Saccharomyces cerevisiae S288C: one gene and its partner. The protein of the gene in region 1 interacts with the protein of each later gene in a pairwise test. Each region holds a gene or a part of one and is shown in the gene's direction. Other genes may lie near its edges.

Region 1 (7,632 bases):
CTGCTTAAATAACAAATCACTGATATCATCGCGGGATAAGCTGTCTGAATCACTCCGTATGTCTCTTAAAATCATAGAGGTATTAGCAATGTCAATGAACAAAGAAGATTCAATTAGCTGGTCATTATTGCTAGATTTATCAAGCCGTTGCAATTCTTCAGCTGTGGTTTTATCATTGATTCTACCGATTTTCTTTAATTTTGCAATGTGTTCATCCTTTTTGAACTTTCTCTGATATTCAAATGACTTGTTCAAACGATCGTTGACAATTTTAGATAGTTTGGCGCCCCGCTCTAATGTTATTCCCTCCATAATCTCATCTCCCTCTTGTCTTATTAATTTCACATCGGCAAGATTGTTCAAATGCAGCCACAGCACATCTTCTAACATAAGCCTCAAAGGTACCGACAAAAATACATTTTGCTGTGCTGCAGTAGGCAAAGTTCCAGATAACACACCACAAATACCCCATTTCCTTAGAAGTTTGATGTGATCTATGTCAAATACTAGCGGTGGCATAAAAACCTCCTCGCCTTTTGCCGTTCTTTTTGCATATATGTTAATAGCTATGCGCGTACCACCTTCTTCAGCCATATACGAAAGGATCTATGCTAATTGGGTGGATTTCTTATCGCATCACTTTCTTATTCTCTAACTCTTCTTCGCTGCTCAATAAAATATCTCTGCTTGGAAAAATGTCACGCGTAAAAATTAGACGAGGCGACAAAAGACGCGTGAACTAACATAAAGGTTTACTTGAACAAATGTTATCACTTTAAGTTCTACACGTAAAACAAAAACTATTCACTCTTCTTATTACGGTAAAGGCGAAACCAGCAAGAAGACCAGATTATACTTACAAGAGATGAGCAGTGTTCAACTTTCGAGGGGCGATTTTCATAGCATCTTCACCAATAAGCAAAGGTACGATAATCCCACCGGTGGCGTTTATCAAGTTTATAACACCAGGAAATCTGATGGGGCTAACAGCAACAGAAAGAATTTGATCATGATTTCCGATGGTATTTACCATATGAAGGCTCTGTTGAGAAACCAAGCTGCATCCAAGTTCCAGTCAATGGAACTACAAAGGGGTGATATCATTCGCGTGATAATTGCAGAACCTGCTATTGTCAGGGAAAGAAAGAAATACGTTCTTTTAGTAGATGACTTTGAGTTGGTCCAGTCGCGTGCTGATATGGTCAACCAAACTAGTACTTTTTTGGATAACTATTTCTCAGAGCATCCAAATGAAACCTTAAAAGACGAAGATATAACTGACAGTGGTAATGTTGCCAATCAAACAAACGCCAGCAATGCTGGTGTCCCTGATATGCTGCATTCAAACTCAAACTTGAATGCAAATGAGAGAAAATTCGCCAATGAAAACCCTAATTCGCAAAAAACCAGACCAATTTTTGCCATCGAACAACTGTCTCCATACCAAAACGTTTGGACTATCAAAGCAAGAGTTTCCTACAAGGGAGAAATTAAAACGTGGCACAATCAAAGAGGTGATGGTAAACTATTCAATGTCAACTTCTTGGATACCTCTGGAGAAATCCGAGCCACGGCGTTTAATGATTTTGCTACAAAATTTAACGAAATTTTACAAGAAGGCAAAGTATACTATGTATCAAAGGCAAAACTCCAACCAGCTAAGCCCCAATTTACTAATCTAACACACCCTTATGAACTGAATTTGGATAGAGACACTGTTATAGAAGAATGTTTCGATGAAAGTAATGTTCCGAAAACCCATTTCAATTTCATCAAACTAGATGCTATTCAGAACCAGGAAGTAAATTCCAACGTAGACGTCCTCGGTATTATCCAAACTATAAACCCACATTTTGAGCTAACTTCAAGGGCTGGGAAGAAATTCGATCGTCGTGACATCACAATTGTTGACGACTCTGGGTTTTCTATCTCTGTTGGCCTATGGAATCAGCAAGCCCTTGATTTCAACCTTCCTGAAGGTTCTGTTGCTGCCATTAAAGGTGTTCGTGTGACGGATTTTGGTGGCAAATCTTTGTCTATGGGATTTTCTAGTACCCTGATTCCGAATCCAGAAATTCCTGAGGCATATGCCTTAAAGGGTTGGTATGATTCCAAGGGCCGCAACGCAAACTTCATCACTTTAAAGCAAGAACCCGGTATGGGTGGTCAATCGGCTGCTAGCTTAACAAAATTCATTGCTCAGCGTATTACTATTGCTAGAGCTCAAGCTGAAAATCTAGGAAGAAGCGAGAAAGGTGACTTTTTTAGTGTTAAAGCTGCTATAAGTTTCTTAAAAGTTGATAATTTTGCATATCCTGCCTGTTCTAATGAGAATTGTAATAAGAAAGTTCTGGAACAGCCTGATGGTACTTGGAGATGTGAGAAGTGCGACACCAATAATGCAAGGCCAAATTGGAGATACATCTTGACAATATCAATTATTGACGAAACCAATCAACTATGGCTCACTTTATTTGACGACCAAGCTAAACAATTATTGGGTGTTGATGCTAATACATTAATGTCTTTGAAGGAAGAAGACCCCAACGAATTCACAAAAATTACTCAAAGTATCCAAATGAACGAATATGACTTTAGGATTAGAGCGCGTGAGGATACATACAATGATCAAAGCAGAATTAGATATACCGTTGCTAACCTACACAGCTTGAATTACAGGGCTGAAGCCGACTATCTTGCCGATGAGTTATCCAAGGCTTTGTTAGCTTAATGTATCAAATAATCAAGTACTATTTAATCTATGTAACATATGAGAAATGTAAAAAAAAAACTTCTATTTCGTCAAGTTTTTGAAGGGCGGTTCAGCATCTCTTGATGACTGGATATGAAACTACACGTTCAGTCATATGAATTTGAACCCATAATGCACAAATGAATAAAAATGCTAACAAATTCTAATTAATGGCATGGTACTAACACCCAACAATTTACCGCCCTTTAGGTGTACAGCTTCAAATAACAAAGCTTTACAAATTCACCTTCAACATTTACGTTCAGTAGTATGAAATTACCATCATGACGTGCTCCTATCAAAGTGAGATTATTGCACTTCGTATTATTAGGAAATTACCAAAAAATGCAAAATTTTTCAATTCTGTGTCAAAGAAATCGCGGTAGGCATGACTATACCTCTTCAGTGTCAGTTGCCTATTTAAACTTTCTCCTTTTGAAGAGAAACCTATGATGACTGCATCTTAATTATCCTCGTATAATCTGTAGGGATTGTGAACCGTTCTACAAGCAAGTTATTACCTCTAACATCATATTGCTCTCTCGTCCGAAGATCGATAGCTATTTCTTCCTCTTGTTCTAGTCCTTGCTGCTGTTCTGCCTCATCGACCTCATCAAATTCATCTTCCTTCTCCAAATAGTCGACATTCTCTTCTACTTCTTCAAAATCTGGCGCCAAAGCACTCCACTTTGGCGGAATAACAACAGACCACACATACACGTTCCCAGATTCAAAACCATTACTCACTATACTCATACTATAGAAGTCCCAATTTATATCTATCAACTCCTCTTCAGCCCCTTCCAGGACTCTCACCAACGTTCCACTAGTCGTTTCCCAGATGTATAGTTCATGTGCAGAAGAACCATGTGTAGAAGCGACTAAGTATTCGGCAGTATTATTACTAAAGAGGATACAGTTCCACTGTAATTTATTAATCACATCCTGGTACTTATGCTCTAAGGTCAACTCAACCGCAGAGTTTTCATCATCAATACTTATTTCGTATTGTCTTATTGTTCTATCGGAGCAGTTAATAGCTAATCTTTCACCATTTTGCGAGACAATTAAATGTTTGATATTAGAACTCGTGATTTTAAGGGAATGAATACATTCTGTTTGATATAGAGAATGGAATTTATAGAAGTCTAGCCAACCTTTTGAAGTTCCAACAATAATAATATTTGGATGTTTGGTATGTACTGTACAAACAAGAACATATCCATGATCAGGTGTCGAACTCAATTGTTTTTCGTCTGATTTACTGAGAAGGCTTGCGACCGGATCATTGCTGAAGTCAATAACATATGCGTCACTTTCCTCAAATATCGTAGCTACACAAAGCCGCCTTTTAGCATCCAGCCATTGGCAACCCCAAATTGGAGAATCGAATCGTATTTCTTTCAAAGGCTTACTTGGCTTTGAAAGATCCCACAGTTTTATTGACCAGTCTCTAGAGCTTGTAAGCAACAATCTACCATCTGGAGACCATGCGATAGATGTAATGGGTCGAACATGTGCTCCCAACATATTTCCTGGGACACAAATAGGCCTGAACGTATCCATATCGTAAATAACAAGTGCTCCATTGGCACACCCAAGAGCCAGGTAATCACCGCAAGGACTGAACTGGAGACATTCAGTGCGTAAAGGGTTCTCAATCGTATGTGTGAGCTTCTCAGGATGTTCCTTAAGAACAGCGAATGGATCCTGTAAAAGGATGTTCATAACGAAAAGAACCAGCTGATATACACAAACTAAAAGGACTCGGTCTCGACTCTTGAACCCCAGGGGAAGATCCAATATAATCGTCAACCTATTATTTTATATATTCTCTATTTTTGTACGTGAATTTATTCTGTATTCTGTTACCGTAAAAAAAAAACGAATCGCGTAATAAGTTGAAAAAAAAAAACACATCAGCAGAAATGTGTACATACAAAACTTACTCTATCTTCCCTCTGTAGTTTGGAAAAGTATTTAAAGGTAACCAATCTCTCTACTAATCATGCTTTTAACCTCTCTTTTACAGGTTTTTGCCTGCTGTCTAGTTTTACCAGCTCAAGTTACTGCGTTCTATTATTATACTTCTGGTGCTGAACGTAAGTGCTTCCACAAGGAATTGTCTAAAGGTACTTTGTTCCAAGCAACTTACAAGGCACAAATTTACGATGACCAATTACAAAATTACAGAGACGCTGGTGCGCAAGATTTTGGTGTCTTGATTGATATTGAGGAAACTTTTGATGATAACCACCTGGTTGTTCATCAGAAAGGTTCAGCAAGTGGTGATTTAACTTTCCTTGCGTCTGATTCGGGTGAACATAAAATCTGTATTCAGCCCGAAGCTGGTGGCTGGTTGATTAAGGCTAAAACGAAGATTGACGTTGAATTCCAAGTGGGCTCTGATGAAAAGTTAGATTCTAAGGGTAAAGCCACTATTGACATTCTACATGCCAAGGTTAACGTCCTAAACTCCAAGATCGGCGAAATTAGAAGAGAGCAAAAATTGATGAGAGATCGTGAAGCTACCTTTAGAGACGCCTCTGAAGCTGTTAATTCTCGTGCTATGTGGTGGATTGTCATTCAATTAATTGTTCTCGCTGTTACTTGTGGCTGGCAAATGAAACACCTGGGCAAATTTTTTGTTAAGCAAAAAATTTTATGATCAGACTAAAAACCTTTTATGTATCTTCTAGAAATTTATAGTTTATAAGAGCCGCTAAAGGTATTCCTTCTTTTTGAGAAAGTGGAAAAAAAATGACTAAATAATATCATCTTGGAATGGTATTTTACACAAACTTACGTATTGAGTTGGGCTATACGGTAATTATGTCACGGCTAAAATTTTCATTATCAAAAGGTATATAGGGACTTGAAAGCCTCAACTTTATTTTCATCAACCAAGCCATTTCCTAGCTGCTTAGACACCACGGGAACATTGAAATCAAACTCTTCCGCCTTTTCCTCTGAAAAGTCGTTATCAATTGAGGCGCTGATATGTTTACCTTCATTATCGTTTTCTTGTGAAAGATTGGACCGTGATTTCTTTTGAACACTATTAAAAACAAAGCCTTTCGATGAACTTTTTTGAGGAGTAACCGAAAGATCTGGTTGGACGGGAGTAGAATCGCCCTTTGTAAGTTCGGTTTTTGGCTTTCCAACTAACGGCTTCGCCTGTAGGTTGGTAAAATTGAATTCCTTTGATGATGCAGATGGTGCGTTCTCGCTCTTATAAGCATTCTCAGTAGGTTCAACGTTTCTTGAAGTATTAAACGAGAAGTTAAAAGCAGAGGATGGAGGTTTATCTCCACCATCCTTCTTTTCAGGTGAGGTTTCAGCTACGACGACATTTGAGCGTAAGGATGAGGACCTTGCAGGTTTGTATTTAGTAAAAGAATCTTTGCTTGGCGCAGATGGTGAAATTTTGGTGGCGTTCAGTTGTTTCATTGGTTCTTCGCCTTGTTCAGGAACGTTTTGAAATAATGGCTTAACAGTAGTTTCTTCTTCACTGATCTCTTGCCTTGGTGCAGCATTTGGAGAAACTCTCTTATGTTTGCGTATTTGGCTTACATATGAGGAGTATGGATTAGCAAGTTCTGAAGCTGCATTATTCTTCTTACTGTCATTTTCATCTAATAGTGAGACCAATGCCGCAGCTGTATTACTTATTTTCTTACTAGGAGCTGACTTTGAAACACCACTTCTTACCGATTTAGCAGATGCTATACTTTGAGCAGATGTGTTGGCTGTGTATGTATCGGGGATCTTTTTCGCTGCACTATATCTATAAACGGTTGTTTTGTATGGTGAGGGCAGGCTAGAATAATTGAAACTGTATTTTCTTGAACCAATGCTTCCCAAAGTCGTATTCATTGACGCATTTGAAGTATCATATTTTGGGTTGAAGGTCGGCGCATTAGATATGCTGATTGGTGTACTTCCTGACTCCTTCAAGATAAGCGACTGGTCGATATTATTACCTTCGGCTGATTTTTGTTCTCCTTCCGAAGTTATCATGGATTTGCTTGATTTTTGTAACAATGACATCACACCCTCTATTTCAATTTCTGATAAAGGCTCATTACCTTTTTTACTAAAAAAGTTTGCAAGCTTTGCATTGGAGATGTTAGTTTCATGTGTTTCATCATACTCCTCTTCTTTATTCTCAATGTCGTTTCTGGCTTCACCCACTGCAGAAACAACTACGGAACGGTTTACAGTAGAATCTGGGGATATCTCAGAATGGAAATAACCTCCAGGCATACTTGAGATTCTTCTGTTAAAAGACTCATTGCGTGGTTGTTTATTAGCAACATTATTCCTTGGACTCACTCTGGCTGAATCTTTTTGGGTAAAGAAAGTTTTAATTTTAGAGAAAAGGCTTGGTTTATTGTGTGCATTGCTAATAATCTGCTTTCGATAGGGAGCGGAAGGCACAGTAGCGCTAGCCCTCCTCAATGATTTACGATGCATTGGATGTCGATTTTAGGATATCTTGCGGTGCTTATTTGATGTAAAGGTCTGTTATTTGATGTTTAAAAGTACACATTACAATAAGCTTTCACTTGTAAATATATCTTTTATTTTCCGAGAGGAAAAAGTTTCAAAAAAAAAAAAAAAAAAAGAAGAAAAATAACTTTCTCATGTAATAAAAGGTAACTAATGTAGACAAAAAAGTATACATTTAGCTTTTCTTTTTTTGATGATTTTTGAGTTTCATGTTACTAATCAGAACAATTAACGACACCTTCATTATGAAAAAATTAATTAGCTATAAGTCTTCGAAGTAGAACATGATATTTGGCAATCACTCGAATAACTATCTTAATTTACCTGCTGAAATAATTTGAAAAAACACCCGAGGCAGCAGACGAAAG
Region 2 (7,905 bases), on another chromosome or scaffold:
CAGATCTTACTCTTCTGGTAGTGGTGTCCTCAGAAGAGCTAACTTAGCCGATTATTTTCAATTTAGTGCAGTATGATGTCTACTATCTACCGTCATTTATCTACCGCTAGACCGGCTTTAACTAAATACGCAACCAATGCCGCAGTTAAATCGACAACTGCATCCTCAGAAGCTAGTACTCTGGGTGCTCTACAATATGCATTGTCTTTAGATGAACCAAGTCATTCGTGGACAAAATCGCAATTAAAAGAAATTTATCATACCCCACTGCTCGAACTTACTCATGCAGCACAATTGCAGCACAGAAAGTGGCACGATCCAACCAAAGTGCAATTGTGCACATTGATGAACATCAAATCTGGTGGTTGTTCTGAGGACTGTAAGTATTGTGCGCAGTCTTCGAGAAACGATACCGGTCTAAAGGCTGAGAAAATGGTTAAAGTGGATGAAGTGATTAAAGAGGCAGAAGAGGCCAAAAGAAACGGATCTACTAGATTCTGCCTAGGTGCTGCATGGAGAGACATGAAAGGTCGTAAATCAGCCATGAAAAGAATTCAGGAAATGGTGACCAAAGTGAATGATATGGGGCTAGAAACGTGTGTTACTTTAGGTATGGTTGATCAAGATCAAGCAAAGCAATTGAAAGATGCAGGTTTGACTGCATACAACCATAACATCGACACTTCCAGAGAACACTATAGTAAGGTCATCACCACGAGAACCTACGACGACAGGTTACAGACCATCAAGAATGTCCAAGAATCTGGAATAAAAGCCTGTACCGGTGGTATTTTGGGTCTCGGTGAAAGCGAAGACGACCATATAGGATTCATCTACACATTATCCAATATGTCTCCTCATCCTGAGTCCCTACCAATTAATAGACTAGTTGCTATCAAAGGGACTCCAATGGCTGAGGAACTTGCCGATCCAAAGAGTAAAAAGTTGCAATTCGACGAAATTTTGAGAACCATTGCCACAGCGAGAATAGTTATGCCAAAGGCCATTATAAGACTTGCCGCTGGTCGTTATACAATGAAAGAAACAGAGCAATTTGTCTGTTTCATGGCAGGTTGTAACAGTATCTTCACCGGTAAGAAAATGCTGACGACAATGTGTAACGGTTGGGACGAAGACAAGGCAATGTTGGCTAAATGGGGATTGCAACCTATGGAGGCATTTAAGTACGACAGATCTTGAAGATAGGGATATGTGGATAATTCTACGATTCTAACTGTACATTTCTCCCTTATTTATTAAGAAAACCTATATATATATATATTTACCTATTTATTCTGCCATCGTTAGCTGGCGTTTTATCTTTTATGCATCCAATATCTAATATTACTTCCGATCACGCATTTAGTTCTGATTACAGCAGAAATCGTAGCGCGATGAGACATTTCATCAAATGGCCTTTTTTTTTTGGGCAATTTTTTTATATCTTGAAATGATAGTTGCCTTGTACTTTCAACCGTTCATTTCATTAAGAACTTGACTAAATATGAACATTTCTTAAAAAAAAGGTTGACATATAAAAATAATCGAATATAAACGATGGAATTTTTATAAAATTAAACACATATATATATATATATTAACTATAAATATGTCAAAGAAACCATACAATCATAGATTTATAACTATCTTTTGGATGACATTAATGAACATAACGCTCCTAATACAAATGTCCAAAAAATATTACCCGCAAATACGAATCTTTTTTTTTTCTCGATGAAATTTTGCAAAGAGTTCGAAATTTTTATTTCAAGAGCTGGTAGAGAAAATTTCATAAGGTTTTCCTACCGATGCTTTTATAAAATCTTCGTTTTGTCTCACATATACCAACAAGAGTAACGATGTTTTCTTTACCTACCCTAACCTCAGACATCACTGTTGAAGTCAACAGTTCCGCTACCAAAACCCCATTCGTCCGTCGTCCGGTCGAACCGGTTGGTAAGTTCTTTTTGCAACATGCTCAAAGAACTTTGAGAAACCACACCTGGTCTGAATTTGAAAGAATTGAAGCTGAAAAGAACGTCAAAACCGTTGATGAATCCAATGTCGACCCAGATGAGTTGTTATTCGACACTGAATTGGCCGATGAAGATTTACTGACTCATGATGCTAGAGACTGGAAAACTGCCGATTTGTATGCTGCTATGGGTTTGTCTAAGTTGCGTTTCAGAGCTACTGAAAGTCAAATCATCAAGGCTCACAGAAAACAAGTTGTCAAGTACCATCCAGACAAGCAATCTGCTGCTGGTGGTAGTTTGGACCAAGATGGCTTTTTCAAGATTATTCAAAAGGCCTTTGAAACTTTGACTGATTCCAACAAGAGAGCTCAGTACGACTCATGTGATTTTGTTGCCGATGTTCCTCCTCCAAAGAAGGGTACCGATTATGACTTTTATGAAGCTTGGGGCCCCGTTTTCGAAGCTGAAGCTCGTTTTTCTAAGAAGACTCCTATTCCTTCTCTAGGTAACAAAGATTCTTCCAAGAAGGAAGTTGAACAATTCTATGCTTTCTGGCACAGATTTGACTCCTGGAGAACCTTTGAGTTCTTGGACGAAGATGTCCCAGATGACTCTTCTAACAGAGACCACAAGCGTTACATTGAAAGAAAGAACAAGGCCGCAAGAGACAAGAAGAAGACTGCTGATAACGCTAGATTGGTCAAACTTGTTGAAAGAGCTGTCAGTGAAGATCCCCGTATCAAAATGTTCAAAGAAGAAGAGAAGAAGGAAAAGGAAAGAAGAAAATGGGAAAGAGAAGCCGGTGCCAGAGCTGAAGCTGAAGCTAAGGCCAAGGCCGAAGCTGAAGCGAAGGCTAAAGCTGAATCTGAAGCCAAGGCTAACGCCTCCGCAAAAGCTGACAAAAAGAAGGCTAAGGAAGCTGCTAAGGCCGCCAAGAAAAAGAACAAGAGAGCCATCCGTAACTCTGCTAAGGAAGCTGACTACTTTGGTGATGCTGACAAGGCCACCACGATTGACGAACAAGTTGGTTTGATCGTTGACAGTTTGAATGACGAAGAGTTAGTGTCCACCGCCGATAAGATCAAGGCCAATGCTGCTGGTGCCAAGGAAGTTTTGAAGGAATCTGCAAAGACTATTGTCGATTCTGGCAAACTACCATCCAGCTTGTTGTCCTACTTCGTGTGAATACCGTAAGAAATGGAATAGAATATATACGAATGTATACGAATATTATAGAGAACGTTCTCTTTTATTTCTATAATGAATAGGTTCGGGTAACGGTTCCCTTTTTAGGTATTTCTAGAAGATGAGAGAAGAGGGAATAATGAGAAAGGCGAAAAATAAAGGACACCTTTAACGAAAGATCAAAGGTGTCCTTATTTACTTACAATAGCTGCAATTAGTACGACTCAAAAAAAGTGAAAACAAAACTGAAAGGATAGATCAATGTCTTACAGAGGACCTATTGGAAATTTTGGCGGTATGCCAATGTCATCATCGCAAGGACCATACTCTGGCGGTGCACAATTCAGATCAAACCAGAACCAATCCACTTCTGGCATCTTAAAGCAATGGAAGCATTCTTTTGAAAAGTTTGCCTCCAGAATTGAGGGGCTCACTGACAATGCAGTTGTTTATAAATTGAAGCCTTACATTCCAAGTTTGTCAAGATTTTTCATTGTGGCCACCTTTTATGAAGATTCGTTTAGGATCTTATCACAATGGTCAGATCAAATTTTTTATCTGAATAAGTGGAAGCATTACCCATACTTCTTTGTCGTTGTGTTTCTAGTGGTTGTTACCGTTTCCATGTTGATTGGCGCCAGTTTGTTAGTTTTAAGAAAGCAAACCAATTATGCCACCGGTGTGTTATGTGCTTGCGTTATTTCTCAAGCATTAGTTTATGGGTTGTTTACGGGTTCATCATTTGTCCTAAGAAACTTTAGTGTTATTGGTGGGTTGTTAATTGCATTCAGCGATTCAATTGTTCAAAACAAGACAACATTCGGTATGCTTCCTGAATTAAACAGCAAAAACGACAAAGCGAAGGGTTACCTGTTGTTTGCTGGTAGAATTTTAATTGTTTTAATGTTTATCGCTTTCACTTTCAGTAAATCATGGTTTACTGTTGTTTTGACCATTATCGGCACAATATGTTTCGCCATTGGTTACAAGACAAAATTCGCATCCATTATGTTGGGTTTGATACTAACTTTTTACAATATCACGCTAAACAACTACTGGTTTTATAACAATACTAAGAGAGATTTCTTGAAGTATGAGTTTTACCAGAACTTAAGCATCATTGGTGGGCTTCTATTAGTTACTAATACTGGCGCTGGTGAATTATCCGTTGATGAAAAGAAGAAGATTTACTAGATTGTAAAGGAAATCTTTTCTTTATGTCCCTTCTGTTCACTCATCTTCTAACAATCTATTTCGTTTTGCCTTCTTGTGATCGCTTTCAATACCCTGCTAGCTCACATATATACTTTTCTTACTGTCATATCTACATAAAAGATTTCTTTTTGTATAGGCGCACTTAACGAAATTTGATTGGTCTCACGTTGGCTTGTATATTCTACCTTCAATCAATGTGGTTATATCGCACAGAATTCCCTTGTATTATGATAGAACTTATTTATTGTAATTAGTTTTGATTTGACCATTTTCGTTGGTCCGTAATTGTTTTACACTGTCACTGCTTAAATCATTGAAGAGATGCTCTTGAGATAGCATCCGCTCTCCTATCTTTCCAAAGAAACGCTTTAAAGTCGCTTTAAGCAATCTCTAAAGTTTAAAAATTCCTAATAAATAGCTCTTTAGCAACTATTGTAAACCGCAATAATGGGCACACCCAAACATATTATTTGAAATTTTTTCCACCTCATCGCTTGAAAACACCATGTTGAAATTGGGATATTAAGTAGAGGAGGTAATTGATACCAATGAGGTGAAACACATCTACCAAGGGAAGTGTAGCATAATAGGGGAAGATGGCAGTAAAACATAAATCCGAGAGCCTTAAGCACGAAGAGGGGGCTGCCAAAAAGGCAAAGACAGGCCTATTGAAGCTAAAAAAAATCATGGATATAGAATCTAATGTGGTCAAATATTCCATATGCATACCGACAACTGTTATCGACAATTGTAATAATTTGGAGCAAGTTACATTTACTGCATATCAAATAGCTCGGACAGCTGTATTGTTCAATGTTCAAGAAATCATAGTTCTAGACCAGTCAAAAGATAAAAAGCATGAAAAAAAATCAAGATCAAAGGAGACTATCTCTGATTGTTTATTACTTGCCACACTATTACAATATTTTGTAACGCCTCCAAACTTACTGGATACTACATTCAAAAAAAAAAACAAGTTATATTTAAAGTGTGCATCTACCTTTCCGCCATTGAACCAGCTACCTTTTATGAACGCATCTGCCGAACAACACTACAAGGAAGGCTTATCAATCGCACGAGATAGCTCAAAAGGTAAATCTGATGATGCTCTAACAAATTTGGTGTATATAGGAAAGAATCAAATTATTACGTTATCTAACCAAAATATTCCCAATACTGCGCGTGTAACAGTTGATACAGAGCGCAAAGAAGTAGTGTCACCCATAGATGCTTACAAAGGAAAACCACTCGGCTATCATGTTCGAATGGCAAGCACTTTGAATGAGGTGTCCGAAGGTTACACAAAGATCGTTTGGGTCAACAGTGGTGACTTCCACTACGACGAAGAGTTGTCAAAGTACCACAAGGTAGAAACAAAGCTACCATACATCGCAAAACTGAAAAAAAGTTCAACATCAGAAAAACCCTGTAATATCCTGCTTATCTTCGGGAAATGGGGCCATTTAAAACGTTGTTTCAGGAGATCTGACTTAGAATCCTCTTCTTTGCATCATTACTTTTCTGGTCAACTGCAATTCCCTGCTTCCGTACCCCAGGGAAATATACCCATTCAAGATAGCCTACCCATAGCTCTTACCATGTTTCAGCGTTGGGCAAGTTGAAATAAATAGCAATTAATAACTGATATTACTATTTATGTTATATAATCATCGTTTTCTACGGATATGCAGTTCTATTTTTAGTAAAAGAAACGTTAAAATTTTTCTTTCAGTTTTTCGCCCTGAAAAAGAGAAAAATGTCACGAAGAAAACAAGAGGATATTTGTTTATTTTGATTTTAACTGCCTCCTTATAAAGAAACTTTTCCTCATTCACAATTTGGACTTCTTCTTGTTTTTTTCAATATAAGTTTATTGAGATAGACAACTAACCAAAAAGAAAAACGGTCAAAGATGCGTTTCTCTACTACACTCGCTACTGCAGCTACTGCGCTATTTTTCACAGCCTCCCAAGTTTCAGCTATTGGTGAACTAGCCTTTAACTTGGGTGTCAAGAACAACGATGGTACTTGTAAGTCCACTTCCGACTATGAAACCGAATTACAAGCTTTGAAGAGCTACACTTCCACCGTCAAAGTTTACGCTGCCTCAGATTGTAACACTTTGCAAAACTTAGGTCCTGCTGCTGAAGCTGAGGGATTTACTATCTTTGTCGGTGTTTGGCCAACAGACGACAGTCATTACGCTGCTGAAAAGGCTGCTTTGCAAACCTATTTGCCAAAAATTAAAGAATCCACTGTTGCTGGTTTCTTGGTTGGTTCTGAAGCCTTATACCGTAACGATTTGACTGCCTCTCAATTATCAGACAAAATTAATGACGTCCGTAGTGTCGTTGCTGACATTTCCGATTCTGACGGAAAGTCATACTCTGGTAAGCAAGTCGGTACTGTCGATTCCTGGAATGTTTTGGTTGCTGGTTACAATTCTGCCGTTATCGAAGCTTCCGATTTTGTTATGGCTAACGCGTTCTCCTACTGGCAAGGTCAAACCATGCAAAATGCCTCTTACTCATTCTTTGATGATATTATGCAAGCTCTACAGGTTATCCAATCTACTAAAGGTTCTACCGATATTACCTTCTGGGTTGGTGAGACCGGTTGGCCAACTGATGGTACCAACTTTGAAAGTTCTTACCCATCTGTTGACAACGCCAAACAATTCTGGAAAGAAGGTATCTGTTCCATGAGAGCTTGGGGTGTTAACGTTATTGTTTTTGAAGCCTTTGATGAAGATTGGAAGCCAAACACCTCTGGTACCTCTGATGTCGAGAAGCACTGGGGTGTTTTCACTTCAAGTGACAATTTGAAATACTCCTTGGACTGTGACTTTTCATGAACGCTTTAAAAATACTCTTTAAACAAGAATGGCTTTTTCCTTCTGTTTAGGTGAGGAATAAGCAAAAAGTAACAAAAAAAAATGTTATCCCTTCTTTTCTTCCTTATTTAGGCTTTATTTTATCTTTCACTTCTTTTACGTATTTGAAATATCCTTCGGTTTTAGGATTTTCACTTCTAAGTTTTCTATTTTATGCCTTCCATTTTAAATTCGTATTTTGTGTATACTTTATTCAGTAAACAGACATCCCAATAAGTTCTTTGAATATCTTCTGAAAATGATGTATAAATATATATTTCTAGAATGAAAAAGGACCGAAGGCGTTGTCCAGTTTGCCTCATAAAAAATGAAATGTTCTTTTCGGAATTTTGAGTATACAATGTGGGTATGCAATTATATCTATCTATGGCACACATAACTTTTTCTGCAAGTCATAGTAGTGGGTTTTCTTTTCTAGTACTAATTTGTACCATCGGCAACATATAAATAAATAAAAGAGAAAAATCATGCAACAAATAATATAAATTAACTTCTGTTCTCGAAATCATTTTCCACAATACCAGATCTAGAACACATGCTTCTGAAAATACTATCTTCTTGACTAAACAACGTCCATGGTGTATCGAATTCTGCGACTTCACCCTTCTCTAAAACAAGAATACGATCATAATTTAC

The links.
Region 2: the proteins of ERP1 (region 1) and ERV29 interact in binary tests that used the Saccharomyces cerevisiae proteins (3 or more experiments, as listed by UniProt).

Annotation. Positions count from the first base shown.
Region 1 is NC_001133.9:151,853-159,484, reverse strand, and holds ERP1 (Erp1p), read left to right. Parts: upstream 1-4,760; coding exon 4,761-5,420; downstream 5,421-7,632. Other genes in the region: tRNA splicing endonuclease subunit SEN34, read right to left, coding at 1-519; replication factor A subunit protein RFA1, read left to right, coding at 866-2,731; COMPASS subunit protein SWD1, read right to left, coding at 3,200-4,480; FG-nucleoporin NUP60, read right to left, coding at 5,609-7,228. UniProt on the Saccharomyces cerevisiae protein: Involved in vesicular protein trafficking.
Region 2 is NC_001139.9:1,057,108-1,065,012, reverse strand, and holds ERV29 (protein ERV29), read left to right. Parts: upstream 1-3,422; coding exon 3,423-4,355; downstream 4,356-7,905. Other genes in the region: BIO2 (biotin synthase), read left to right, coding at 73-1,200; ZUO1 (zuotin), read left to right, coding at 1,860-3,161; UPA1 (putative methyltransferase), read left to right, coding at 4,973-5,998; BGL2 (glucan 1,3-beta-glucosidase), read left to right, coding at 6,289-7,230; ATP-binding cassette transporter YOR1, read right to left, coding at 7,756-7,905. UniProt on the Saccharomyces cerevisiae protein: Constituent of COPII-coated endoplasmic reticulum-derived transport vesicles. Required for efficient transport of a subset of secretory proteins to the Golgi. The C-terminal di-lysine motif is required for exit from the endoplasmic reticulum.